3 linked regions of the Arabidopsis thaliana genome follow. The protein of the gene in region 3 interacts with the protein of the main gene of each other region in a pairwise test. Each region holds a gene or a part of one and is shown on either strand. Other genes may lie near its edges.

Region 1 (2,828 bases), on a different chromosome or scaffold from region 3:
AGTCGTCGTTCTCAAGCGACCTGATCCCCTCCGATGGCACAAGGTTGGTCCACATCTTCTCTTTGCTTCATTATTAACAACTTGCATCAAATATAGTCATACCGGTTTGGTTTTGGCTAGTGAATTGACAGAGATAACCGGCTGAGATCATATAATAAACCGGTGTTGAAATAACATGATGTTAAAATTGTGTGTTTGGTGCAGTCACCGAGGAGGGATTGTTGCAGAGTATTGCCGAGTAGGAGAAACCAAACGATGTATATTTGGGTCGGAAATTGCGCAGATGGAGAGATCAGTGAGCTTGAACATCCTCAGCAGCATTAACAAGATTCAGATATATACTCACTAAAGATTTCTTCAAATGACTATGCAATTTGTTGAAAACATTCTGTGTATCGTCGTTCACAAACAATTCTCAATCCTAAATCAAAAACTATTGTTTCAACTGAAGCAAATACAAAGAAAAGAAAAATTCAATCCCTGAAAGTTATCTGTTCATGAAAGAAATCAGTAAGAAACTGAAAGAAACTTTTCTCCGTTCAGAGATTAGACTGCGTGTGGCTGTTTTGCTTTGTTCACCGACTGGGTTGCATTTTGCTGCGATTGAGTTGCGTTGTGAAAAGTTGTGAGATTCTGATTGGTAGAGACGACGGCGACGAGAGCTGAGGAGGCTGGTGAAACAGCAGAGGAAGCAAGAATCGCTAAACTGACATGAGACTCGTTTCTCACGGCCATGGATTTCTCAAGACGATGTATCGACATTATCTCTCCATCGTTCATGACGCTCACTGTAACCAAAACCAAAATCAGAAAGACTCATTTTCTCGGGAAAATCTTTTCTTAGATTAAAGAATCGGAGAAATAAGGAACCTGAGTGGGAGAAAATCCAGAGGGTGAAGAAACAGAGAAAAACGATCACCGGAATTGCATGGATCCAATACTCCGATACCGGAAATATCCCTCTCCGGGTGTTTCCTGTCCTTCTGCCAATGTGAGAAGAAGAGATCGGGAGCTGAGAGAATGATCTTTCCGCCATTGTTGTCTTATCTTGTAGCTTCTCTTCCAAGAATCACAAAACCAGTAGAGAGAGATAAGAGAGAAGAGATTTGTGAAGCCTTCTTGGATTAGGTTTTGGTTATTTAACGGCAAAAATCTTAACGGGTTCACGCGGGATAAGTTGCATCACGTGATCATAGTCCTATTTCTATTACATATTTACGACTTTTGCCATTCATCATTATGAATTTTTAGACATTACTTAATCCTAATTTACCAGACTTTTTGATCGGGAAAATATATATATGACCAACGATATTTGTTTTTGTTCAATATATGTATATATGTCCCAAAACAAAATGGTTTTTTTTTTTTTTCCTTTTCTACAGAACAGAAACATTCTACATACAAAGAAGCCGAGTCAAGATTTACATCCACAATAGATGTTAAAAATGTACCTGAGTTGGTTTTATATTTTTCCCCAATTTCTTGGTGAAGCCAAAATTAGATTTGATTTTTTACCACTCTCTTATTGGATATCCTATGAGGACCCTTCACATTCAGTTTCCTTGACGAGGTGTGGTCTTTTCTCTTCATCATCTCTGTCTCTGTGAAAAGAAGGGTTCTTCCCGCTGCTGCTGCTAGGGCTATTCGGATCATATTTAGAAGAGGCTAAGAAGTTGAGAGCCAATACTACATCAGATACCACTGGTCTCATGGTAGGCTGCTCTTGAACGCACATTGCTGATATTGCTAGTGCTTGGTACAGTCCTCTAACTGGGTATTGTCCCTGAAGCAATGGATCAACCATTTTTGGGAAGTTCCTCCTGTCTTTGAACAATGGTCGTGCCTGTTAAAAAGCACCGTGAAAATATGAGTCTTGTTTCAGTAAAGATTATTATGAGTCACAGCCAAGAGACAAAACATACCCATCCAACCAAATTCTGATCTTTACGCGTTTTTGTATTGTCAATCGCTTTCCTTCCGGTGATAAGCTCGAGAAGGACTACTCCAAAACTGTATATATCGGATTTAAATGTGAGCTGACCCGTCATAGCGTAGTCAGGAGCACAGTATCCGTACGTTCCCATAACCCTTGTCGAGACATGGGTTTTATCCCCGCTTGGTCCTACTTTAGCCAACCCAAAGTCAGATAGTTTCGGTTGATAGTCTTCACCAAGCAAAATATTCGAACATTTAAGATCTCGGTAAATCACAGGGGGCGTCATTCTGTCATGCAGATACTCTAAACCTCTTGCTGCACCAGCTGCTATTTTCATCCGGGTGTTCCAGTCAAGAGGCTTTTTACCAGAAGGGAGAACTTGAAACAGTCAAAACAACAATGTAAAAGTTAGATGAGAAAAGGGGGTAGCTGCGAGACAAACAATACAGAGGCAAAGGATAGGAATTTGATCTTACAACATACCATGTAGATGATCTTCAAGGGATCCTTGCGGCATATACTCGTACACCAGTAGTCTCTGATCACCCTCAGCACAAAACCCAATAAGCTTCACAAGATTCGGATGGTCAGCAAGACTTAGAGTCAATACCTCAACCACAAATTCCCTGATTCCTTGAACCCCATTACGATCAAGTTGCTTGATTGCAACAACCTAGCAGCAGAACCAAGTTTCACCAACCGTTCAAAACTATGACAAATCTCACAGCCAATTGATAAAAACAGATAGGATTTTTCTTTGTCACAAGTACCTGATCCAATTTCTCTATAGTTCCCTTGAAAACTTTTCCGAAACCTCCTTCACCAAGAAAACAATCCGATCTAAAGTTTCCCGTAGCTTCTGCAAGTTCTTGAAAAGTAAAAGTCTGTG
Region 2 (5,662 bases), on a different chromosome or scaffold from region 3:
CACAAAACGTCGTCGTATCACCTTAACGGATGTTCTGTAACGTCTGTCAATTACGCTGTTAGAAGGAATTTTAACGGTGGTTAATTAGGCCGAGTCAACGCAAACTTGAATGTTAAAACAGAAGTCAACTTTTTGTTGAAAGTTAAAACGGCCATTTCACGAGTTCACGGTTAATTTGACCATTTTTTGTAAGTTGAGGTATTAAATAACATTTTTCCCACTAAATTATAGAGTTAACATTATTAACCATAAACATAATCACTTTCACTGGACTGGACTCGAGCAGAAGAAGAAGATTGGTAACAAGTCAACGTCGGTGGTTGAAGACAGATTGAACCGGTACAGCCATACCGGTTTTAATTTATCATTAAGTATGGTTTTTTCCTTTTCTTACCAATGGGCCTAAAGGGACAATTGCTTAATTGGCCCAATATACCTAACAATTCTATTCACTATTGTCTGTGTATTCTCTCTGTCACTTCTGTTTTCATCAAGTTACTACACCAGAGTATTTACATAAATTGACAAATTAACCTGTGAGCTCTAGGAGAAGTACAATTTGAAAACCATACGGTTCTATTTTTCAAATCCAAACCATTATCCTCAATTCATATATACTATACAAAGTAGTTCCAACGAAGCTACAATATGTATGTAATTGTGAAACCAAACTTATGTTATCTGCTTTTACAAGCACAAACCATGAGGTGCTAAATGAGTAAATTCAGACGAAGAGCACTAGACAAAAGGAGACTACTCTTGATGCTGAAGAGAGAGAGACACAAGGAGAGATTATACGAAAACCAGGTCGAGGTTTGTTGCATAGAAATCACAGTTGAAGCAGAGGCAACGCCATTACCACACCGAAAACCGACACTAGCAACAGTATTATCCACGCTGGCAATCCCTGTTTATTGTTCTTTTTCCTCTCCTTCAAGCCACCTTCTGAATCTCCCTTTGTTGGATCGATGGTTTTCTCTGACTCGACTTTGGTATCGCTCTTTTGAGGAGACTCTGGTGTTGTCAGTTGTGTGGTAGCTTGCTCAGCTAGTTGCTGCTGGTTGTACTTCTCTACATACTCTGGAAATAGCTTTCGAAATGCTGGGCTGTCACAAGTAAGAACATTGGATTCAGGTGAAATACCGAAAACATGTAATCTCAGGACTGCATTCATTCCTATATTCGTTATCTAACCAGCTTTTATGACTATCCTAACCACAGATAACTAAACTTAGCTTCTATATGAATCCAGAATTTGAAATTTTTTGATGATGGGAAAATCTTACGTTTTACAATTGAAAGCGAGAGATGACTTAGCCAACCGTTGTTTCTCAATTACAGTAGTGTTAACACTTCCAGTTGTCGGACTGGTATCCATCTGCGCCGCAAGGAAAACGTTTAGAGAAAGCTTGAGAACAGAAAAGAAAAAATAGACTTCCTTTTTGAATATTCATATCTAAGCTAATAAACCATTACAATATAAGAATATGAGAATTTTCAAACAAGATGTCCATAAATATGTAGAACCTACAGTGAGCTTACCATAAATGAGAGAAGTCCTGTAAGTATGCTGCATTCATGAAAAAAAGTTGGTTATCAACGGGTATATCGATTGTCATCTTCCAAAAGTAAAGAAAGAATCTATACCTTGATACAGACCACATCGGATTCCAGCTTTCTGGATGAACTGTAAATGCCATGTCAACTTATTTCGATATTAGACAAGTTAATTGATACGAAATAATGAACAGAAAGTGCAGATTGTCCTTACAATCACTCATAGATAAACAAATTTTCTTCTGTGTCATGAATCGACCATTTGGTGTAGTCATTCTGAGGCAAACAGAAAAAGATTTGGTTCATTAAAAAACTGGACAAAAAATGAGGTAAGAGTAATGTTGAGACTGAATTTGGAGGAACCATTGGAACATACGTAATCCCTGGTGGCTTGTAAGGATACTCGGGAGGAAACTTGATCTTTCCATAGTAAAATCCACCTGGTAAAGAGAATTTTAGTATCAAAAATAAGATACTGCGTAAGACAACACTAACAAGAAACTTTCAAAAGAAGATTTTCACCTGCAAAAGGTGTTCCCTCACTGCCTTCCAGCACATAATCTGTAAGATTAATCCAATAGTTTAACTCTATTTTAGTAAGAGATCAAGCTACCCTTTTTAACATACTAAATGCAGTAATAATAGAAAGACTGAAACTCCCTAACCGCTATCAGGCTAACAGTAACACTGACAGCCTTTCACAATTGAGAAGAAAACTATCAAATCTATGCATTGTAAGTACATATAAACCTTTGATAAATAAGTCTTCACTATTCCATCAAAGTAATGTGAGACCTCTTCTGTCTACTTAGATCGTAGTATCCCATTTTTTCTTAGTTTAACGTATACTCACAAGTGTAGCAAATATGTCCATCATATATACTTATCATAACATCTTTATAGAAACGCTTGCAACAGGATTACAGGAAGCCAGCAGGAATAAAGATTAAGAAAAAAAGATAGGGAAGGCTTACGCCACTCGAGAATGTCATTTGGGGAAGGACGAGCAACAACATGGGAGACTGGTTCCTAAAGGCCAAAAACAGAACATATTAAATAACCCCCAAAGAAACAAAAGAAAATATGAAACTTACTCTAAACCAAAACCAAGAAAACATTCACATATAGATACAGCATCATTTGAAAGTACAGAGAAAACTGGTTGAGCAATAAAAATATGGAATCCTGGTTCCAGCTCGAGAGAGGTAGAAAAACAAGTAAAGAGAGTGTACCTTGCAAAGTGCTCTATATTCCTTTTGAAGACGTTTTATACAGGCCTTTTCTGCCATCTACGTGCTATGGACGAAGTGAATAGCTGCAGCAGCTGTTACACCCATTTAACATTATCAACAAAACGAAATACAAATATGAGTGAAAGTCCACCTACTGATGAGATGGACTACATAAAACCCTTATGTCTGAATTACATATATGAACTACATAAAAACATATATCGAAACGAGTAAATTGCAGTTGATTTTCGTGCCATTGATATGGAAACTTTACCAATTGTACTATCTCACAACACATATACAGAGATAACAATACTTCTAGCTATTATGCAATACTTTCATGACCTGATTGAAAAGAAAAACCAACCAAATACACACAAGATCAAATGAAACTTGAGTCAAACAACTCTATGATCACCAGAAACACCCTTTGAATAAAAATCCCCAATTTCCATGAGCTTGGAAAAATCTTTTCACCCAAATCACTGCAAACCAATTGAAAGCAACGAAAATTCAATCGAATTCCAACCAAATTAAAGGAAATTATCTGGAAATCCCTGGAATTATATATCAACCTAGAAAATCCTTTGATTGAACCGAGAAAATTGCAACAATGATAGGCAAACCAAACTCGAATCAGCTGCAATATCTTCCATAAATATATAAGAAAATCACAGATACTTCCACATAAACCGTATCAAAGCAAAGTCTTAAACTTGTTAGAGATTCCAATTGCAATTTCAAGCTTCGCTCTTACCCAGAAACGCAAAGGAACAAGAACAACAAATCAAAAGATAATGCAGCGAAGAAATTCCAAAGTAGATAACATCAGATCCAAGAAATAATTGCGAAAATATGAAAGAAATTGATCACCTGAATCGAATTTTGTCGATGAAGATTTTCTCTCTTGGGGTTTCTCGTTAATCTCACTTTCTCCTTCTCCGCGGGTAGAGAGAGAAAGAATTAGCCTAACTCGCGCTTGGTTTATCTAAACCGAACAAAATTCAACACAAGTTAGACCGGTATTGTATAATCCATTCCGGTTCGTTATTAGAGGATCAATGATTTAATAATTATTTTGCGTAATGCACTTTTCCCTATTTCTTTATTCTCCACCACTCATCAAAGAATCTGTGCCGGTTCTTGGAATCAATTTTTCCTTCTCTTCATGAAATATAAAAAAAATAGCTGCAGAAGAAGAAAAAAAACTAGTGATTAGTAGTGAGACAAAACAGCTGTTACCTGCAATTTTTTCTTTTCTGAAATTGGACTTACACTAATACCTCCAAATTCCAAAGTTATGCTTAAAAAATAATTTCAATAAAGTTAAGTTTCAGCCTCTTTTGAGTTCCCCGATAACAGTAGGCAGAAATCACGTGCTCTAATCACATGACCACCATCTCTTAGTTTCAAAGCAGTTACATGAGTTAGGTAATGTGAATATGTGGATCTTTGTCTCTACATATGATATTGTATCATTGTTTCAATGTAGATGCTTGAGGAATATCATCATCATCGTAAGTAAATGATTAAGAATAAGATAAGTATCTCACCATCTGATTAAATAGCATTAGTCAAAGTAAGATCACGTGATCAGATCCCAATAACTATGTGTTCAAACACACATAAATCTTATTCTATAAAACCAACAAGCTTTAGAAGTCTCTCGTCTCTCTTTTCTCTAACACACATCTCCATCCAAGATTTTCTCAGTTCACAGAAAAACAGAACAAGAAAAAGTCAAGAGGTTTCAAGAGTCCTAAAGGAAATTTCAAGAAGAGAACTCAGAATGAAGAGATGCTGTTCAGTGGCTCTGGTTCTGTTACTTGTAGCTTTCTTTAGCAGCAAGTATAGTGTAGAAGGACGTTCTCTGTTAACGATGACACATTCGAGTCAAGCTGTGAGAGATTTGCCTGTAAGCAAGGAGATGAAGAAAGAGCCACTTAAGGGAGAAAATGATAGCTTCAGAAGAATCCCAAGGAGTGGCTCAAACCCTATACAGAACAAGTAAAGAAGATACGAGACACAATCTAGTTTTTCTTTTTTTTTATGTATCCCCAAAGATGAGTTTTAGGTGTAATTGACATCAAAAAGTGTTTCTTTTTGTATCAGGTGTAATCCACCGGTAGATGTTAAAGCAAGTAGGAAACAACAGCAGATCACAACATCAAGAAAACCTTAAAATTCCAGTTCTTTTTTTGTCCTTATTTAGATCCTCTACTTTCGTTTTTTTTGTAGAATAGGTACCTAGACATGTGTGCTTTTAATGCTGTAATCTACTTGAAATATATGAACTCATCTTTTAATCTTATTGATCGATCAAGATAGGATGAAAATTTAAAACGCCTCCTAGCTCGAGTAGTCTAACTTTCCAAAACTATTCTCAACCTCTTTAATCTTTTGAGTTCTTCTTCTTTTCTCTGCTTTGTGGTTTCTTTTATTTGACTTCAGCAGACTTATCCTCAGCCATAGCATGTTGTTCTCAGTGGTGCTTAAAACCTTAAATATAAAATGATCAACCTCTTTATCTATGTTCTCGGTTCTATATGCTTCAAAAATGCATCCTCAGATCCGTAAAAAATTGAAAGTTGTTCTGCAGGAAACCTCACAATATCCTGACTATTTAGCTGCCTATCTCGATATCCAGTGATTACTCCTCACTGCAAAACAGCAACAATGAAAGAAGTAATCACAGCTGTGAGCACTAGATTCCTTTTGACATGTAAGTTTGTACTTCTCTAAAACACCGATACAGATTGTTGAGATTGTTTACAAACTTTTGGACCAAGAAGAAACAAAGTGGCATCCAACACATTACTCAAAAATGACGTCGTTTTGCTGATCCCATGTATAATAATATTACTGTTATTAGG
Region 3 (4,357 bases):
TCATAAAATTGTAATTTAAGTCGTTTTGTTTAGGGTTATATTACTATCTATACTCAGATGATCGGAAAATTAATAAACTATGCATGATAAAAAATGGGGTTGCGGGTATGATATTTATGGGGTTGTGGGTATTATAAACATAACGATATAATATCTATTTGTGTTTCGACACGAATCAAAGATAGTGGGACGCTTAAGTAACATTAATATCACGATAATCTCTTATCTGCTAACACGAGCCTTTTTATTCGAAGCCTTTTAAAATAAGTCTCAAACAATTGTGTACGAGGATAATTTGATAACAGGATAATTTCATATCGATTCCACACGTTGTCGCTTTGGGTTTTGAACAAGAATCAAAACTTATATTGCTATTTAATAATATTAGTATCGCGATAATCTCGTATCTGCTAACGCAAAACTAATAACACTCTCTGATTACTAACCGTGTACGGCTAACATGATAAGTTTGTATCTGATAAACACGATAACGTTTAGTTAGTTTTTTTTTAAAAACCCATAAGCAAAAGCCTACAAGTGGAAATGGTAACGAAGTTAGTCGTTAAAACTACTAGCAGATAATTAAAATAATAACGAGACGATGTCAATTTGTGTTTTGACACGAATCAAAGCTAGTGAGACGCTTCGGTAACATTAAAACATACACTCTTATCCGCTAACGCGAGCCTCTTGTTTGTAGCCTTTTAAATTAAGTCTCAACGAGCTTAGCTGGTGACAATGTTAGTCGATATACCTTCTAGCAAATAAGCAAAACAATAATGAGAGTTTCGCAGGTTGTATTCTGATGTTTTGCAAAAATAATCAAAACTATTTACATTTTCTGATAATCAACGGTATCACGATAATCTTATAACCAATAACAAAATAATTTCGTGGCTGCTAATCACGATATCATTTTAGTTAATTTATTAAAAAAATCCCATAAACAAAGGCCGAGAGGTTGAAATGGTAACAATGTTGGGCGATAACACATTCTGATAACATTAGTATCACGCTAATCCCTTATCTTCTGATAAACATTAATCCTCTCGCCGCGAAGTTCTTTGCCAAAAGCAATCAGACGGGGAGGGAGAAGAATCGGCAGCATCGTTCCTAGAAAAAAAAACATAAATCCTTGTAAAACAACTCAAGATAGGAAGTCAAAATCAAAATAAAAAGGAAACATCTATATCGATTACTAGCAAAAGACGCGAGGAACAAAGCACAAATCTGATAGATGAACTTCTGTTCGAAAAACAGAACGAAATAAAACAAGAATTTGGAGGAATCATTTCTTTTTTTCTTACGCCTCAAAACGACAGTCTCTTATCTTCATACAAAACTGGAAAGAGACGAGTAACTACGTAAGAAAAAAAAACCATTAATAAAATAACACAACTTCCCAAATATATCTACATAAAATCTTCTTCTACACTACTGCAATAATATCCCTCTACAAGCTACAACTTACGCAATCGATAATATAGGGGTACATGTGTAAAATTTTTGTTAACAGTGTTGGGCAAACAGTGCAAAATGAAGAGAGTGAATTAACAAGTTTTCGAAGCATATCAAGTGATATTTTTGTTTATATGAGTTTTGAGGACTGACTTCGTCTAAGGTTTGTTCGTGGCAATAAAAATAAAGGTTCGAGTTTTTTGGGAGCTGAGACAATCACGCAGATGTCTGAGCTTCACAGATTATTCTCAGACAATGTTTATTCTTCAAACGACTACTGATATCGTTTGTGCTTTCTTTGTAGTATTTTTTGTTGTAATCATAGGTTTTTTAGTTTTAGTTATAGATTTTAGTTTTCTGTTTTTCTTTTCTAAAATGATATATAAATTATAAATACTTTTTTTGTTATCAGATATTGTTTAAGACTCGACCCAAAATTATAAATACATTGATGAAAAAAAATAGTATATAGCTGATGTAATCCACGCGCTTGCTGATTAGTCGTGCTCATGTAATTAAACAAATATCGCAAATGTTAAACTATTATACACATATAAATTTCTGTATATACAAAACAAACGAAGAAGACGAATCTCTCAGTTTCGTCGTTCGTTTCGAAGTTGTGCGTTGGTGAAATTTGAAATCTGAATACACTCATTGCAAACCTTAGAAGAAGAAGAAGAAGAAGAAGAAGAAGCTTCCATAGATTCCGTTGGGCTTTTACTGTGTTTGATTGATCGGATCGATTGCGATTACGGAGAAGATATGGCTCAGGCTGTAGAAGAATGGTATAAACAGATGCCGATTATCACTCGCTCTTATCTCACGGCGGCTGTTATCACCACCGTCGGATGTTCCCTCGATGTACGTGCTTGCTTGCTTATTCGCGAATCTTTTTTGGGGTTCTCTGAAATTCTCTAAATTAGGGTTTCATATTCTGATTGTTTTTGTTTTGCAGATCATATCTCCATATAACCTTTATTTGAATCCGACACTTGTGGTGAAGCAATACCAATATTGGCGTCTCGTTACTAATTTCTTGTATTTCCGGAAGATGGGTAATTTTCCCTTAACACTACTCTATGAAACTGGATACAACATTTGTGTGCTTATTACTTTCATATGAAGCTCTTGTCTTTGTCACATTATTAGCTCTAGGCTGCTACTTGTTAATAGCGTTGTGACTGATTGATTGCTTATAAACAAATATGTGTTTGGGGTTGTTGTAGATTTGGACTTCATGTTCCATATGTTCTTTCTCGCACGATACTGCAAACTCCTTGAAGAAAACTCATTCAGGGGAAAGACTGCTGATTTCCTATACATGCTCCTATTTGGAGCATCTGTTTTAACCGGTATTGTACTTATCGGTGGAATGATACCATACTTGTCAGCATCATTTGCTAAAATCATCTTCCTCAGCAACTCATTAACTTTCATGATGGTTGGTAACTTCTGTTTCCCACAAATCTAAGTCGCCTCTAAATATCAGCTTATAGTCTCTTGTGTTCCACAGGTCTATGTATGGAGCAAACAAAATCCTTATATTCACATGAGTTTCCTTGGTCTGTTCACCTTCACAGCAGCTTACCTACCATGGGTGAGTTTAACTCTCTCGTTTCCCTAAACTTCCACCGGAATGAATAAATAACATCTTCTGCAAATTCTGGCTTTTGCAGGTGCTTCTTGGCTTCTCTATCCTTGTTGGTGCCAGTGCTTGGGTGGATCTTTTGGTATATACTCAGATTATCCCAAAAAATTTCTTCTCCAGTCTCTTTTGATCTTTTGTCACCCAAGTTAACTTCAGTCTGATCAAAACATTTCAGGGTATGATAGCAGGTCACGCTTACTACTTTCTGGCTGAGGTTTATCCGCGAATGACTAATCGTCGTCCATTAAAGACTCCATCATTCCTCAAAGCGTTATTTGCAGATGAACCAGTTGTGGTTGCACGGCCAGAAGATGTGAGGTTTGCTGCTGCGCCTTTCGATGAAATCCACCAAGACTGATTCTGTCATCTTACATTTCCCAAACCTAAACACCCGAATCAGTAGTTTGGCTTGTGGATCAGATATAAATGGTGCAAAGGCAGATGATACACAAAAGTCTATTTTGACTCTGACACGTAGTTGCGACCCACACACCCTAGTTTCTAGTAGTTGGGTGTGTTTTGGTTCCTTCTCTTTCCTCCCATCTCTTCATCTTTTTGTGTATACAAACATCGTTTGCTTTTAGTGGTTATTGATATGAACACACTCAATTTGTACACAACCTCTACTAGTGTCGCAATGTTTTAGCGAGGGAACATGTTTTGAATTCACTGCCCGACTCAGATATCAGAAGAAATGTACTTTTGTTCAGATATCAGAACAAATGTTTCATTGCTTTTAGTACATTTTTTTTCCTTTTCTATTTCAGTTAGCAGTAGAAAACAGTGAGAGCTGCGTATTCCGGAAAACAACAAGACATGTTCAAGCTTCTTTAATTAAGCATGTGCCTCGTGTGTGAAGTTTATAAATGTTGGAAACTAGAAACTATGATCTCTTAATCATAGATATAGGTCTCTTCTTCCAGTATTGTACACCATAAGCTGCAGTTGAAGCCATAGTCGTCGAAGCAACTAACCAGCTGGATACAAAACAACATGAGACCAATAACAAGATTTCAGAGAACACACTTCATATGTTTATAACTTTAAGGGTAGTGATTAGTCCAGCTGTGTGGTAATTCGAAAAAGACCTATTACCTTAGATAAGTGATCCATGTCTGGGTGTCTGGATTCCCAAACTCTGGTTGAAGTATTGCACCAGCGACTAGAGTCAACTGGAAAACTGTATTCACCTGTCGATAGACATGTTCCATTAACAAATCAGTTACACATACCAAAGATGCCAAGATG

The links. The genes of interacting proteins can lie anywhere in the genome.
Region 1: the proteins of DER2.2 (region 3) and AT1G07860 interact in a protein complementation assay, tested with the Arabidopsis thaliana proteins (one large-scale study listed by BioGRID).
Region 2: the proteins of DER2.2 (region 3) and UBC34 interact in a protein complementation assay, tested with the Arabidopsis thaliana proteins (one large-scale study listed by BioGRID).

What each region holds. Positions count from the first base shown.
Region 1 is NC_003070.9:2,428,396-2,431,223, forward strand, and holds AT1G07860 (Serine/Threonine-kinase RLCKVII protein), read right to left. Parts: upstream 1,037-2,828; coding exon 871-1,036; intron 831-870; exon of another isoform or gene 789-830; coding exon 547-788; 3' UTR 516-546; downstream 1-515. Other genes in the region: AT1G07850 (transferring glycosyl group transferase (DUF604)), read left to right, coding at 1-43, 205-324; AT1G07870 (Protein kinase superfamily protein), read right to left, coding at 547-788, 871-983, 1,548-1,846, 1,926-2,317, 2,423-2,612, 2,710-2,828.
Region 2 is NC_003070.9:5,916,317-5,921,978, forward strand, and holds UBC34 (ubiquitin-conjugating enzyme 34), read right to left. Parts: upstream 4,027-5,662; 5' UTR 3,663-4,026; intron 3,661-3,662; exon of another isoform or gene 2,882-3,660; 5' UTR 2,847-2,881; coding exon 2,790-2,846; intron 2,587-2,789; coding exon 2,532-2,586; intron 2,119-2,531; coding exon 2,080-2,118; intron 1,998-2,079; coding exon 1,934-1,997; intron 1,834-1,933; coding exon 1,772-1,833; intron 1,706-1,771; coding exon 1,648-1,705; intron 1,571-1,647; coding exon 1,543-1,570; intron 1,379-1,542; coding exon 1,287-1,378; intron 1,107-1,286; coding exon 830-1,106; 3' UTR 516-829; downstream 1-515. Other genes in the region: AT1G17285 (uncharacterized protein), read left to right, coding at 4,399-4,796, 4,902-4,971. UniProt on the Arabidopsis thaliana protein: Accepts the ubiquitin from the E1 complex and catalyzes its covalent attachment to other proteins.
Region 3 is NC_003075.7:2,457,912-2,462,268, forward strand, and holds DER2.2 (DERLIN-2.2), read left to right. Parts: upstream 1-1,941; 5' UTR 1,942-2,223; coding exon 2,224-2,322; intron 2,323-2,416; coding exon 2,417-2,516; exon of another isoform or gene 2,517-2,687; coding exon 2,688-2,902; intron 2,903-2,974; coding exon 2,975-3,058; intron 3,059-3,137; coding exon 3,138-3,191; intron 3,192-3,284; coding exon 3,285-3,467; 3' UTR 3,468-3,828; downstream 3,829-4,357. Other genes in the region: CLS (cardiolipin synthase), read right to left, coding at 3,993-4,086, 4,205-4,299. UniProt on the Arabidopsis thaliana protein: May be involved in the degradation process of specific misfolded endoplasmic reticulum (ER) luminal proteins.